Linked DNA regions of Struthio camelus. The protein of the gene in region 1 purifies or fractionates together with the protein of each later gene. This does not show direct contact. Links are inferred from orthologs where the notes say so. Each region holds a gene or a part of one and is shown in the gene's direction. Other genes may lie near its edges.

Region 1 (7,804 bases):
GTGACGATAAACCCGTGTGGTTCATAGGGAGCACGGAGGGGTCTTGGGCAGGCTGGCCTGCGGCGGGCAGGGCTGGACCGGTGCCCTGCGCCGGCTCTCAGCCCTCGGCTGGCCCTGCCGCACTGCACTTGCCGTCGAGCCTGTCTGCTGCGGCCACAAAGCCACCTTGCCTGGGGTGGCGGAGGATAAATTAAGGAGCTGTCTAAGGGCCGAGTTTTCCCAGGGACGGCAAAACCAAAAAAATATCGCCACAGCACTCATTGCTGAAGCGCCCAGGTACCAAAGTGAAATGCTGACTGACGAAGGGCTTCACCGAGGAGGTGCCTGAAGCTGGAAGCTCCAGTGTCTCACTTTTCGGGGGGGAAAAGTTTCTAGGCCTTGAAATTTTCTTGCTCTCTCGCTTTCTCCTTCCTCCCCCATCTGAAGGTAAGTTGTCGTGGGGTTTTTTCCTTCTTCCGTCCCCCCTTTTTCCATTTCTTTCTTTTTGATACTCCAGGGAGGGGCAAAACAAGGAAGGAGGAATGAAGTGTGGACAGAAACAGTGGGAAAATGAAAGACCAGAAACCTTTTTTTGAACCTTGTGGTTTAGAAAAAGAAATCTCAGCACCTAATCCTTTCTGATGAAAACGACTATTTTAAATGAATGGCTCTTTACAGGATATGGGCATTTTGGGTAATAACAATTCCAGTCAGTTGTTCTTTCATTGCTATAGGCTGCTTGAAGTGATGCAAAGGGTTTTCTTTAGGCATTAGCCTCGTTTCCTTGGAGGCACGCTGGAAGGGACGTGGTGGAGGGACTGCGTTACACCCGATGACGAGCGGCTCCTGGGGCAGCCCTGCCTGGATGCCCCTCGGGCCTCTGCGTACCGCTCGCAACTCTCGTGCAGGTTTCTAGCTCCGTGGAGCCAGGTTGGAAAGCTTTAGAGAGAAAGGAAGGAAGCAGGTTCTCATGAAGCAAGAGGTTTCCTCGCTTTATGAGGGATTTAGGATCGGCTGATCTTCCCCTTTTCAACCTTGCTGCAGCTAGCAACCAGGGAGGTGAAGAAAGAGGGAAGAAAAAGCACACAGGGACAGCAGGTATTCAGGATCAGCACTGGCTTAGGATGGAGGTCCAGGTGGCTTTGATTAGATCTGGGGTTAGTAAAACATGCAGTAAAGAAAGTGCTCTTACCGTGGGTCGCTTCCAGATTATCCCCTGGGTTTTGGGGGAATACGGACCCAGGTCCCTGTAGCCCAGCGCGGAGGGACAGGCTGGGAATTCCTCATCCTTAAAGAGCGCACCGGCCTGCAGGCACCGCTGCTTCAGGGCCTCGTAGTCCTGGTTTAAGTACCGGACGGCATTGCCGCGGGACCCGAGCCCGCCTGCTGCCGCCCGCTCCTTGCACAGCCTGGCCGCGGCGCCGGCCATACGGGCTGCTGGCGCGGGGCGAAGGAGGGCTGGCGGCCGCCTGGCGTGGAGCGAGGGGCTGCCCTGCGCGCTGCCACCGTCTCGGAGGGAGGAGGCGCGAGGCCGGCGAACGCGTCCGGCGGGCAGGGAGCTGGCACCGCCGGGGCTGTGGGCGCCGGCTTGGGCTGCTCCCCCCGGTATTTGCTTACAAGCTGGAGAACTCCCTGCCCCTTATTAAAACACACCTTTTTTTTTTTTTTTTTAACCAGGAGCGAAGCGAAACAGCGATACGGCAGCCACACCTGTTTGCGCAGTGGCAACCGATCCGACAGCCTGCGGGGAGTCAGGCTCGCGGCTCCGGCTGTTGAGGAGCCCCCACGACAACGCTTTCAAGCTCCTTTCCTTCCAAGGTCTGGGGGAGGCGGGAGCAACCACACAACCTGCGCCAGGACTTCAGCGGAGGCGGCTGCGGAGAGGCCAGCCAGCGTTAAAGCCAGGGAGATATTGAACAAACTGCACAAGGAACAAGCTTTTGGTTTGAATGATCTTTTTTTTTTTAAAAAAAAAAAAAAAAAGGTCTTTGGTGCTCTCCAACTAGTACAATTTCATGAATTAATTGGTTAGCAATAAAAAGGGTGAACTTGATAGAGCAAGGGATGGCCAGTTGGCCATATGGCCTGCAGGGGCAAGGCTGGATGCAGTCCAGCAGCACAACCTAGACCAGATGTCGCAAACTGTATGTTGGCATATGTCAGCAAATGGGAGGCAAGCTGGCAGCCCCTGCTCCCCGTCTACCACCAAACGTATACAGCGTCGCCTTGGGCAAAAATCGCTGTACTTTCCCCCATCTATAAAAATGGGCTCCTACCTCAGGCAGTGCAAATTTACCCATCATATCATACGCAGGCTTTTGGTGGTGCTTCTTCCATATGAAACGCTTACAGGGCGAAAACGCACCTTGGCTGCAGAAGTCTTTTTGGACCTTAAAACTCGTGGTTCCTGCTCTTGTGACTCGTCTTGTCCTCGTATATAGCTACACGTCTCCCTGGCAAGGTGGCCGCAGGCAGGTCTGGGAGCTGAGGCGGCGGCTGCTCTCTGCTGAGTTGGGACTCAGCGGTCAGGTTTCCCCAGGAAAGCTCACTGAGAGCGGGGTAAACAGCAGCTTTGCTTATGGAGAGTACGTGCGACCCCTACGTCTTTCTGCTGTCAGTTTAGACAGAAGGTGTGGGAAGGGAAGAGAGAAATGCTACGGAAAGAAAACCCTTTGAGATAAGGAGTCCAAACAGAGGCTCGCCAGCTTACTTGTCTGCAAATATTTGAAGAGCATAAATAGAAAAGAGGAAACAGGATGACCTGGTCTGCTCCAGGTGGGCCCAGGTAGGGAAGGCTGGGCCGAGGGCAATGCAAGGCCGACGGTCTGAAAATTCAATTAACAGGGACATTTTACTGCTGAAATTGAGCAGAAGAGAGGAACGCTCAGGATTTTGTGTCTTTGTTACGTTGTGATATTTCTGCATGTGTTTGCGTCCTGAATCAGAACAAAGAGTTGAATAATAAAGGGTTGGGAGAGGGGGGTTGTTCTCTTTCCAAAATGGATTTTTTTTTTCCAGAAAAATAAGACCCATCCAGAAGTACCCACTTGCTGTGACCCGCAAGGCGGAGCGCTTGTTTCTCTCCCTGCCCGCACCAGCTCCTTGCCCTGAAGCTCCTCGGGTTCCCGCAGCCCAGAGAGACAAGCCTGCGGTTTGCGGCGACCCTTGTGAGCGGCAGCCTTCGGCGGCGGCGTTATTCACGGGCAAGCGAGGTGCTCTGGCGGAAAGCGAGGCGCTGTGGCACTTGGCAGCGCCATTCCGGGCAGGAATCGGTGGTTTCCCGCGGGCTGCTTGGAGGGGCCTTTGGCACGCCGCAAGGGCAGAAGGGTCGCCGCGCGTGGAGCGCGGTACCAAAGCACCATCTAGAGGTGCCTCTCCAGCCAGACGAGGAGAAGGCGGTGGCTGTTAAGTTGACCACGCTGAGAGCTGACGGTTATGCTACGGGGTTGGGGCGGGGGGGAAGGTTTGAGGTTTTCGCTGACCGTGTCTCGCCCTCAGCGCAAACTGCTGCCGAAGTTGCATGAACACACGGGGAAGGAGCAAGCGGAGCGCGTATAAGACCGGTTCGGGTTTGCGTGGCTCCTGGGATGTGCGTATTCTCGTCTGAGGTCTCCTCCTGAACCCTCTTGGCTGTAAAAGGGAATCCGCAGGTTGCACGAAACCGAAAGTGGCCCCTCCGGAGAGGAGAGGTGCCGCTCGCCGAGCGGTGCGTGGTACGCGTGTCGCTGCAGCGCATGGGGCAGAGGCGCAGGAGCTGCGCTGCCCTGCGCTGCCCTGCGCTGCCGCGCCGCGCCGCGGAGGAGGGCGGCTGCAGACCCCACGCTGCGGAAAGGGGTGAGCCGCCTTTGAGGAGCTTGCCTCCTCCTGGCCTCGCTGCCCCGCTCTGCCCCGCCGCGCTGCCCCAGAGCCCTGGCACCGGCGGGGCTGTTAGCAGGCAGACTAGCGGGAACCGCGGCGGCTCCTCAACGCCTGTCCGCCTGTCCGGTTGTTTTTTCCAGAGGTTGAAACGTTCCCCCTAAATGCTGGGTGAGGGGAAGAGGGGCTGGGTCCCGGCTGCCTGCTGCAAACCGGTGCGCTCGCCGCGGCGTGCCAAGAGCTTCACAAAGGCGAAGTGGCTTTCTGAAGTCAGCTGGCGTCGGGGGGGGGCGCGTCTGGGGTAACTCCGTCCTGGCGGCCGCCGTCTCCCCTGCCCAGGGCGGCGAATCGGCGGCCAAAGCCGCGCGGGAGCGGGGCGGCGCGGCGGCTACAACCAGCAAACCCGGCTGCAAGTGATTTGTGTTGCCCGCACCGCTCAGAAAAGTTCCTTCTTCCGTAGGTAAGGCGGGGACGCGGGGGGGGGAGTCAGGAAGGACTTTATTGTGACTTTTATTATTATCATCACTGGGGTGTGGGGCACGGGGCGGGGGTGAGCTCTCAGCGCAGAGGTTAAGATCGTACCTGGCCGAAGGCGGCGGGGCTGCAGGGGGAGCTGAGCACTGACAGCACTCGTGACACCTGCCCGGGAAAAGGTGGGGGGGGGAAGGGGGAGCCGAGCAGGGCACCGCCCCCTGCTCCCCCTCCCCCCCCCATGGCCTGGGCCGGAGGGGCGGGGCCGGAGGGGCATAGGGGCGTGGCCAGGGACGATGGGGGCGGGGCCGGAGGGGCGCAGGGGGCGGGGCCAGGGGCGGTGCGGGGTTGGCGGAGCGGTGCGGAGGGGACCGGGGCGAGGCCAACGGCTCGGAGGGGCGGGGTCTCGGCGGAGGGGGCGGGGCCGGGGCAGGGCGCGGCGGCGGCGGCGGCGGCGACGGCGGCGGGAGTGAGGGCGGGCGCGGCGCGGCCATGGCGGGGATGGCGGCGGCGGTGGCGAAGCAGCGGGCGGCGGCGGGCGGCGCGGGCGGCCACGGCCGCGCCACCGCCTTCCTGGGCCAGGACTTCGCGGTGCTGCGGCGGGAGTGCGTGGAGGCCGGGCGGCTCTTCGAGGACCCCTGCTTCCCCGCCGCCGCCGCCGCCCTGGGCTTCAAGGAGCTGGGGCCGAGCTCCGGCAAGGCGCGGGGCGTCGTGTGGCGCAGACCCACGGTAGGGCGGGAAACCGCTGTCCCTCCTTCCGTCGCCTCCCGCTGTAACGGCCCTGCCCGCCGTCCGGAGGGGTTTCTGGGCTGTTTTCGCGTCTTTGGCTTCAGGCGGGGTCGGCGGGCCGCGGGCAGCGCTCCGCTCTGTCGCTTCGGCTCACCGGTTTCCTCGGCAGCGAGACGGGCTGAGCGAGACGCGGACGTCTGCCCGGACCCCGAGGCGTCTAGAAGTTTCCGGCGGGCGCCGGCGGTGGCAGGGAGGCAGCAGCAGAGCGGCGCGCGCGGGCTGCCTGGCGCGTGCTGCGCAGGTAGATGTTTGCCCACCGGGCTTTGGCCACGAGCTCCCTCTCTCACCGCGCTCAGCCCGTTCGCTGCCCACGCTCGTTCCCGACCGGCTCCCTGGCGTCGTCCTTCTGCTGTAAAAGTTGCTGGTTTAAATTTCCTGCGATAGGGACTTTGTCCCCTCTGCTGTCTGCCCGGTACGCTTACCGCTTGTTTCGTCCCCAGGAGCTGTGCGCCAACCCCCAGTTCATAGCTGGCGGAGCCACTCGCACAGACATCTGCCAAGGAGCTTTAGGTAAGATGGAGACAACGCACTGCGCGAGTGCTACTGCAGGACGCCGGAGTCCCCTGCTCCCGCGCTGTCTGGCTTACCGCTTTGCTATAATTCACTCTGTAGCTACATCCTCTGGCACCTTACCATCTTCCTTTGTATCGGATTTGATCTTACTTGCCTTTCTTTCATAGCTGCAGACTGGGACCGCATCTGCTCGTCCGTTGCATGCAGCCTTGCTGTACGCGAGGAGTACTGGTGACGTGTGCCCATCTTCTGATCGCGACCAGCTCCTGTCATGCGCTCCTCGCCTCAGTACCCATGTGCCTGACAGCAGTATGCCAAGGAGCGTGACTAATTCCTGCTATTAATAATCTGCCTAGGAGAACAGTTGTGTGTGTTTCATGGCGCTTTTTTTGCCCAGTGGCACAGAGATCTGTGGAGCAGGCAGGATCCCCTGAAACCCGTAATGATGCAATACAGAGTAAACAAGTTATGAAGAGAGATGCCATAGTGCTAATCAGCTCGCAAGCAAAACTAAGCTGGTATTTTTCAGGAGGGGTGGGCATGCCTTTGTGTACCTGCATGCGAGCCATTTGCCTTTGACCTGCCCACCACCAAGTTTGTGCAAGGGCAGTTCCTAGAGCCGGTCGCTCCGGAGGAGCCCTGGGAGCCCAAGGGGTGGCTGCTCCACGGAGGGGAGCGAGAAGGGACTTGCTCACGTGGTTCGGTGTGCGCCATCGTTTCTGTCTCTGAGCATTTCTCCTGCCTTGTCTACCAGGAGTTTGAGGCTGAGTATTTGTACGCTTCTCTTCCCCGAAGCGAGCGAGGAGGCAGGCAAAGAGGAGAAATACAGACATAGGAGAGGAGAGAAGCTAAGGCGGAAACAGCGAGTCTGGTACTTATTACATGACTGTCTACAGAGAAAGCTTTCAGGATTTCAGTTTAGACTGACAGTGCAATTGAGGGGAAACTTCTCAGTCTTTGTGTAGGGAAGCGTGACTAATATGCTGTTCGTTTTCACTGTTGTGCTTTCTCAGTGGAATTGGCAAAAGAGTGAAGTCCATGGGTCTGTTTGCTTTCCATCAGCATAAAATTGGTGATATTGCTGCTTATTAGTTTCTAGTCCTGCTGCTGCTATTTGTGTTTTATCGTACAAAATATATAGCAGGTAGGAAGGCTCATTTCAGGCGTTTTGCATTTATAACAGTTCTTTCAGAGGTTATTCTGGTTAGTACTTTAGCAATAAGACACAATCGGTGTAAAAGAGCCCTGGAAATCAAAATACCTTAGATTGTGAATTTAATTCTTCTCATGCCCCAGTATCACCTGTGGCGTGGATTAGGCTCCGTTGTATCTGTTGTGAAGTCCTTGGCACGTTGCCTGCGTTACCCTTTCGGAAGAAAGGGCTAGGCGCGTTCTGTTGGTCAGCTTCCTTCACATGTTTTCTCTCTGCCCAGTATCTTGTCTCCCATGACAAATGTTTTGGCACAATACATGATCCAACACTTAATACTTGTGCTGGATATTTTCCTCATTTTTATTGTGAAACTTTACAGCTAAGGAGTTGTTCAACTTGAAATTATAGTCTGTTGTAATTTCAGTCATTTTAACAGCAAACACTTTGCAGAGACGCTTGTTTCTGAAGGCACTTAGTTGCCTTCTGCCTTCGCTAGGCTTCCAGCTTCTCTGTCTGCATGTTGTGGCAGCAATAGTACCGTAGTTAAGGATTTGCAACTTAACTTTCAAGTTGTGGAGTTGTTTTTGCTGTTACCAAGCTTTCTCATATATTGGTGAAAAGAATTTGTTTCCTGACAGGTGTTTGGGCCAGTCCGTGTGGATGCTCTCATGAGGTTGCGTGTTACCACCAAAGGATATGAGCTGGCTCACCACTTGTGTTCTTTTACCACCTGAAACAATGTTTTAATAGGAAATTGTTAGTGTTCTTGTTTGTTTCACAGTTTTGGACAGAACCGACTATGACTAGCTGCGCTATCTTCCTATGAATCTGGGCAGGGTTTTGGTATTCTGTGTCAGTTCAGTTGCCGACTAAAATTAGATGCTGTTGATCTTTTATCTAGTGTTTAGCCACTGAGTCACTAAGTGCCTGTATTGAATCCTTTTTCACAAAGTGAGGCTAACAGCTGTGCTGTACAGATGCATTTTGTTGCTGCTGCCTAGTTTGACACTAGCGTTAGAATTGATACATTTGTTTAAGCTTTAT
Region 2 (7,620 bases), on another chromosome or scaffold:
TTATCTTGTTTACTTTGGATGGAGAGAATTATCATAAGAAGACATGGTTATTTTAATTTGTGAATTATAACAAATTCAGAATGATGAACAATATTTTATTCTACCTAAAATCAACAGCTACATCCAAATGAAAAATAGCAATGCTATTCCTCCTCTTTGGAATTTTCTTATAGAATTGTATGTTCTCCTTAAAAAGAAGTAAACCTGGCCTACCAAGTATGAAAGCAAAGAATAAAGGAATATTCTTCTCCAGCAATATACAGCAACAAACCCAACACAAAAGAACAGAAATGGTAATGAAGCTGAAAATGATCTGAACACTCACTGTGTTGGTTGTTCAGTTTGATTTTAGAAACCATCTCTCAAAAAGGAGTGAAGACAATGCTGTATTATATTTGATTTCTCCAAGAACTGATGACTACTCCCCTGAAATTGATAGATCTGCAAGGAGAAATACAGCCATTCTTGAAGATCAGCTGCCATCTACTGAATGATAAGAAAACTGTTTAGAACATTTCTCTCTTTTGACAGTTTAAACTAGATTCTTGGCTGAATATCTTTTTGTCAGTTCATCACTATTAATTTGGGGGTCCGTAAATGTTTCAGGGGCGACTATTAGAAGATATTAATTCTAAAGCAGAGCATTCAGTAATCTGCTTTCCAGAAAAATATAAAAATAAGGTCTTGATCCTACAGGTTGCTCCACACAGGCAATCCTGCTCACTTCCAGGAAGTTCTAATAATGACTTTCGGGCTCTACCTCATTATACTAAAACCAATGGAAATATCAGTGTCTCAAAGTAAAATATTCAGTACCATGACCATATATTCTAGTTAAAAATGACAGCGTTGAAGTTAAAACTCACTGCCTGAGACACGCACATCAAGCAACAATATCATCGTTTTTATGCTGCACATCAAATACGTTATTGGTATACATTTTTTTAAACATAGTAACATTAACTAACAGATTACTAAAATAAAACTAGAAATACTAACAGCGTGCATTAGCAGAGTCAAATTAAATATTTCTTGTGGAAAACTAGCATGTTTCATAAATTGGAACTTAATGGGAACACCTTGTGTTGTCGTGAAACAGGAAGAATTCAGAGATTATTACTGGTAGCTACCTGCTGAGTAGGCTAGTGGTTTTGTACTGCTTTTCTCCTCAGCCATCATCAATAATTTCACAATCAATGTAAGCTGACACAAGGTGGAGCTGTGACCAAAAGAGGTCACAGCCTTACCTCCTCTTCCAGCTCGCTATTTCAAGCCATTCTTTGCACTGCCGTAAGTATTCGCATGGCTGTGCAATGCATGAGATCAAGATTTGGTACAGCCAGTAACTAATTCACCAAAACAAATTAGTTCTATACCAAACAAGCTCATCTTCTTTGCGATATTCAGGCTTTTCTTAATAAAAGGCAGGACAGGGATTAGACATTGAGACCTATAAAGGGTGGAATCCCCTCTGACAGTTTATGCAAATCATGGAACTATGATTACAGAAGGCAGGAAGGATTAGAGACTGTTGCTCAGCTACTTTCTAGTTGTATTTGTACAATTCTGTCCAGAAGTAGACCAGCTTGCCCCTGTTAATAGCTGAAAAAATAATAAAGTTGGACCATCCCCCTGCTGAAACACTCACCTGCAAACAAGCATTAGGGTCATAGAAGTTCAATAGAACTTACCTTCAGATGTGAACATTTTAGAAACATATTTTCTTATAAAACAGTGGGCCATAATAGCTAATGTTATTAATAGATAATATCAGATTTCCATTACAGGTATGTATGTAAAGAAAAAAGAAAAAAGAAAAAAGACAAATGTAGAACCTCAAGTTTGCAAATTCCCAGTAGTCTTAACTTAATGATCTTTTTAATTGTAATTCAAAGTTGTTTAAAGTTCAGGGAGGCAGAGGTAACTCAGACAGAATTCTTAAAAGAAAATGATGCAAAACTAGAAAAAATTTCTCTCTGTTCCATTCCACTACTCCCTTACTTCTTGCTCTCAGACTCTTCTGTTGCACAGCTGGCCTGAACTTTGCCAGTCCTCATTCCCTCACAAAATTCTGTCTGAATGTCTATACCAAGCCTTTGCTCCACTAGCCACCTAAGACATTTCTAAGTACTACATCCAAGCCTTTCAGATGCCACCTACCTTTTTTTTTCTTTTTTACGTAGGCATACATATAGTATCACAAAAATTATTTTCCTTCGCTTATTTTTCTGGAGTCTGAGAACTTTTTCAGGTGCTACAATTATACATAGTGACAGTAAACCACATTCTGTAGGACATTTGTTGCTTAATTCAAATCTAAAACTTCAAAGAGATTTTGGAAAAAAGGTGGGCTACCCATACAGACGTCATTCTAAGATCAGAACCTAAATATAAACAAACTGTTACAACACAATATCAAATCAAACGGCAAGATCAACGGAAATACAACTTGAAAACATCAGAATCTATTTGCTAGATAATTCAGCCACAACAACAACAGTCTTCTGTGAAGAGGAGAAGATGAGATATGTTCTGATTACTTGATTTGTACATGTAATTTTCAACAATAGCCCAAAATTGTTTCCCACTTTTCCTATATGTAAAAATATGGGTATTTTCCACTGTTATACCCTTCCATAAGATATACTGAAAGAAAAGGTACTATGAATTAGATATTATTGTTTTATCAGGTTGGGGGGATATTTTCTTATCACTTAAACATTTTGTGTTTCTCGGTACTGAGGAGACAAATTTTAAATGGAAAAAAATGGATTCATGCAAAGCATCCCATCCATCATTAAAAAAAATCAGTAAGAGGACCTAAACTTGCTCTCACTAAAGCCAATGGCAGGTAATGTTAACAACTCTAATTGTTATTTGGAATTCTTTGTCACTCAAGACTAGGTTTTGCAGATGTTTCTCTCTTGTCAGAAAACAGATTTTCCAGATGTTACAAGAAAGCACAACTATATACGAATATAGACCACAGAGCCCAGTTTCAGATAGGCCCTTTTCTTTATTTTTTTTCCTAAGCACAACCTTTTAACACCAAGCAGAGAATCTACCTCTTACACTTTAGAATTCTCTGAAACAGTCTGCCATTTTAAATAGAATACGTTGTTTTCTTTAACTGAGTACGCACTCAAGAGCACTTATGCTTAAGTATGAGAATCTTTGAGGGAAAAGAAAAAAAACAAGAGAATATGTTTAAAAGACATATGCTTGAAAATACATTCTCCCTCTTGGAATGAAAGGTCCTTACAGTCTTCTGCCTTTACATTCAGCGCTCTGTCCCATCCTAAATACCGAATATGTATGTATATTCCACATGAATGTTTGCATACAACGCGCAGCAGTAAAATATGCTGTGAAAAATCATTAAGTTGACATCCAGGAAAAAAGGAACTGAAAATAAACACTGAAAGGAGAGAACTTGTTCGGGAACTGAAAAGAAACAGAACATAGGCCCTTTTGCATGTATTAAGACAAAAAAAGAAGGCTTACTGTTTTTCACACTGCTCACTTCTGATGTCCTAAACGAGCTCTTTTCACATTGCATATTCCGTTTGTACGGCTTACTAAAATACTTTGGCTACAGCCCTCGGTCCAGTAAGGAAAGTGATAAAGCGGGATATCATGAAAAAAATTTCCTATGCTTCCCCTCCAGAGGTCTTCATAATACATACTGGACTGCTTTTACTTAGGCTGTAAACCATGACCGCCACATTCTGTCTGTGTTTGTAATTGATTCTGACTGGTGTCTTATATTTGAGATCCCAATTTCGGGAAGTATCTGGTCTCATATGAAGTTTGTATGTATGAAGTACATGTGTAAGTGCAATCACAGTGAAGCTCCTTACAAGAATAAAATTATGCACACATTAAAATTTCGAAGATCATGACTTTATCTTGTATTCTACAATGCTGAGAGATTGCCTGAAAGGTAATTATAGAAGTACTGCATAATTTACTGCATAATTTAAGAAGGCTGTAGGCCAAAGAGTTATAAATTAACTTTTCCTAAACACTGATTAAGGATTTGTCGGAGCAGCACACTAATACAGATTTATCCATTGCTGAATAAATTTCTGTGTCCTGATTACTTGTATGAGCAGCTCCTCAAGATAACTGTGTGGCTCCCCAACTCCTTTTCTTAACGGGCAGCTACAGCTGCCCCAACCCCAACCGCTCATGAGCAAGGTGCTAGCGAGTCAAGGGACACACTGACAGGAGACACGGGAAGGAGGATGCTCAACTCTGGGGAGCACGTTTAAGAAGCACTACCTCGATGAGGGGGCCGAGCTGAGAAGAGACGAACGGAAGCAAGCACGCGAGCCTGGTGAAGACCGGCTCTGTGGAGAACAAGCGGGTGACAACGAGAGGAAGATCACTCCATTTCGTGGAGTGGGAGGAAGGTATAAAAAGCGGGCAGGTGGCCTTAAAGCTAGGCCGCCTGTCACTATGATGGATTCACCTCACGGCCGCAGCCGTTGGACACCTCTACGGAGGTGAAAGGCGTCAGCAGCCGCTGAGGCGACGGCGCGCGGCCCCCCCCGCCAGTGCGCGCGCCGGCGCCGGCGCCGGCTGGGCGGGGCGACCTGGGTCAGTGCGCGTGCTCTAGCGCAGCGCATGGGCAGCGCATGCGCAGGAGGCGCAGCGAGAGTGCTGGCGCGCGGCTGGCGGCCGTCCGCGCGTCGGGGCCGTTGCGGAGGAGGGAGGGAGGGAGCGGACGCTCTCTCGGCCCGGCCGGGCCGTTACGCGCGCGGAGCCGCGGCGGGCCCGGCTCTTGGCGGAGGGCGAGGCGGGGGGGGTGAGTAGTGAGCCGGACGGGGCCCTCTTAGGAGGGTTGCGTGCCCGTCCCCGCAGAGCGCGCCGCGGACGCCTGCTATGGAGGTCGCGCCCTTAAAGCTGCTCCCGCTGGATACGGGCGATGAGGGCACCCAGAGGTGCAGGGTAGGGCCTGCCGCCCTCTCCTTCCTGGGAGCCAGGATCGGGGCCCCGCTGCGGGTCACCCTGCCCACCGGTTGCTGCTTATGCACGGCTTGGCCCAGGCACGATTTGGCAGACGGTTACCTGCAGGTCGACCTGACGTGCAAAACGGCAGGCGTAACTGCAAAGGAGCTAAAAAATCTCACGCTGGACATCAGCCAGCTGAAGCTTTTGGCATATCATCACTTAAAAAAAGTGACTGTGAAAGTAGTCCTTAAGAACTCTGCGCTGAAAAAGTCTACCTCCAGAGGGGTGTTGCAGGAGATAATCAAAGAACTGCTAAGAAGTATTTATGTTTCGCTTCATTACACTGTTACAGTTGCTCCAGCTCTTGAAAATCCCGTGGTGTATATTGAAATACTTTCTGTAGACCCTTTGACAGATGAAGCTGGACTAGTAACCCCCCAAACAAGCATAAAAATTAAAGAGGTTGTTCCTTTAGAATGGTACAGGCATTTATCAGAAGACACTGCGACAATTTCAGTTGCAGGACTAGATGGTGTGGGAAGGTCTCTGAAAGAAATGGTTGACTTACCTTTCCGTTTTCCAAAAACTTTTAAGAAGCTGGGACTTTCTGTCCCTAATGGAGTGCTATTAGTAGGCCCTCCAGGTGTAGGGAAAACCCTTCTGGTAAAGGCAGTAGCAAAAGAAGTGGGTGCCTATCTGTTTTGCATCGGTGGCCCAGCCCTGTATGGTTCAAGACCAGGAGAAAGTGAAGAGAACTTGCGAAAAGTTTTTGAAAAGGGCAGAGAAATGTCCTGTGAAGGACCAACCATTCTCTTTATTGATGAAATTGACTCTTTATGCCCAAAGAGAGGAAGTTCAAACAATGCTCCTGAAGATCGTATTGTTGCTCAATTGCTAACATTATTGGATGGCACAGGTAGCAAGGATAAGATGGTTGTTATGGCAGCAACAAACAGGCCTGATGCCTTAGATCCTGCACTGAGAAGACCTGGCAGATTTGACAGAGAGGTGAGCAGACCTGTTTTTTTCACACCCTCCTTTGCACGGGGAGGGTGGTACAATCAAAATAATTATACTTTTGGAGGAAAAGGGCTACTTAAATGTTATTAATGCGTTCACAGTTAAAAGTATCATTTTAGAGGGTTTGTTAATTGTTGAAATGTATTCTATGGTGGCATTTTTCCAAGTTTTTTTTTCATGTATGAACATTTACCGAATTGTTTTTCTTTTGGATTCAAAGATCTGCTTCCTTATTCCAGTTATTGAAATACTTTATTTTGTGTGTTCATATCTTTGAGTTTATGGACTAAGAATTGTAGCAAGACAAGCACAAATTCACAGGATCATCCTTAAAGGTACTATTATTTCTGACTTCTGTTTTACCTAGTGCATTTTATTAAATGCATGTAATCATCATCTAATTCAGCTCTTATGATGCAAGGCAAGTATTATTTCAGTGCTAAGTCTTATTTTTAAGTTACCTTAAAACATGTCTTTACAGACTGGGGGCTGATGGTGTTATATTAACAGCTGTTTATACAAACACTGTCCACTTGGAAAATAAGTGTAAATGAAAGGTGTTTTAAATATTTGTCATTTGTATAGAGTTTTTTATGTCAGAGTGCTGGAGAACTGCTAATTAGTTTCTTGTAAAATTATTTAATCACAGTATAAGGAAGTATAAATCTTCAGTAAGCAGTATAGAGAGAAAGTTGCTTGCCTAGGTCTATAAAATGAGGAATATAGCAAAATGCCTACTTACTTTTTTTTTTATTATATTTGGTTTAGGTTATTATTGGGACACCAACACTTACACAGAGAGGATCCATCCTGCAGTTGCTTACATCTAGCATGCCAATTTCTGCAGATGTTGATTTGGTTAAACTGGCAGAAATGACAACTGGGTATGTTGGAGCTGACCTTACAGCGCTCTGCAGAGAAGCTGCTATGCAGGCAGTGTTACAGAGCTCTCAGGTAAGGCTGCAAATTAATCAAGAAGGATGTCATTATTAATATGTACCACCTTTTTCCCATTAATGCTCTGCTTTTACTTGAAATGCTCAGCAACTTGAAGAACTCAGAAATTAAAATACTGAAAATAAGCAAGTTATAAATGTAAATATACAGTTTTGCTAGTGACTTTCAGCTCACGCCTGAGGGGACTGTTCTGTCCTTTCTGAGTAAAAAGCTTTACAAAAGGTTTTAGTCTCTCCTCCTTTTTAGGAGTGTGCAAAGGAGATATTTTTTATTTGTTTTTTGAGGAAAACTAAACTGGAGTAGTCCACCAAAGCTCTCTTTTGAAAATATCAGCAATTTAGAATTCTGCTTCTGAACAATAACTGTGCAAATTACAGTTTAGAGTGTTATATATGTATACATGTGTACATATACATGTACATATTTATATATAAATAAAATAAATGTTTATAACTGCTAGTGATTATAACTTGTCTTTTGGATTGCATGGCTAGATATAACATGAAGTTACAGACACAAGGCATATAGTTATAACTGCCTTATGTCCAGTGGGAATTGCTGCTTCTTAATATTCTTTCCATCTTTATTGAGACTTTTACAAGAATTGTGAGGATTGTTTGCTGTGCTGCTTTGTCTGTGGAAGGTGACGTGGATGAGCAAAAATTTTAAAGCTGTATCTGCAAAATC

What was found. The genes of interacting proteins can lie anywhere in the genome.
Region 2: the proteins of CAPN2 (region 1) and AFG2B purify together in Homo sapiens (co-immunoprecipitation; 3 studies listed by BioGRID and IntAct, with this or other methods). This does not show direct contact. The link is inferred for Struthio camelus from reciprocal best matches to the Homo sapiens genes CAPN2 and AFG2B.

The regions. Positions count from the first base shown.
Region 1 is NC_090944.1:126,576,076-126,583,879, reverse strand, and holds the start of CAPN2 (calpain-2 catalytic subunit), read left to right. Parts: upstream 1-4,788; 5' UTR 4,789-4,797; coding exon 4,798-5,034; intron 5,035-5,534; coding exon 5,535-5,604; intron 5,605-7,804. Other genes in the region: calpain-8, read right to left, coding at 1,172-1,408. UniProt on the Homo sapiens protein: Calcium-regulated non-lysosomal thiol-protease which catalyzes limited proteolysis of substrates involved in cytoskeletal remodeling and signal transduction. Proteolytically cleaves MYOC at 'Arg-226'.
Region 2 is NC_090953.1:12,704,723-12,712,342, reverse strand, and holds the start of AFG2B (ATPase family gene 2 protein homolog B), read left to right. Parts: upstream 1-4,614; 5' UTR 4,615-4,887; coding exon 4,888-5,964; intron 5,965-6,744; coding exon 6,745-6,930; intron 6,931-7,620. UniProt on the Homo sapiens protein: ATP-dependent chaperone part of the 55LCC heterohexameric ATPase complex which is chromatin-associated and promotes replisome proteostasis to maintain replication fork progression and genome stability.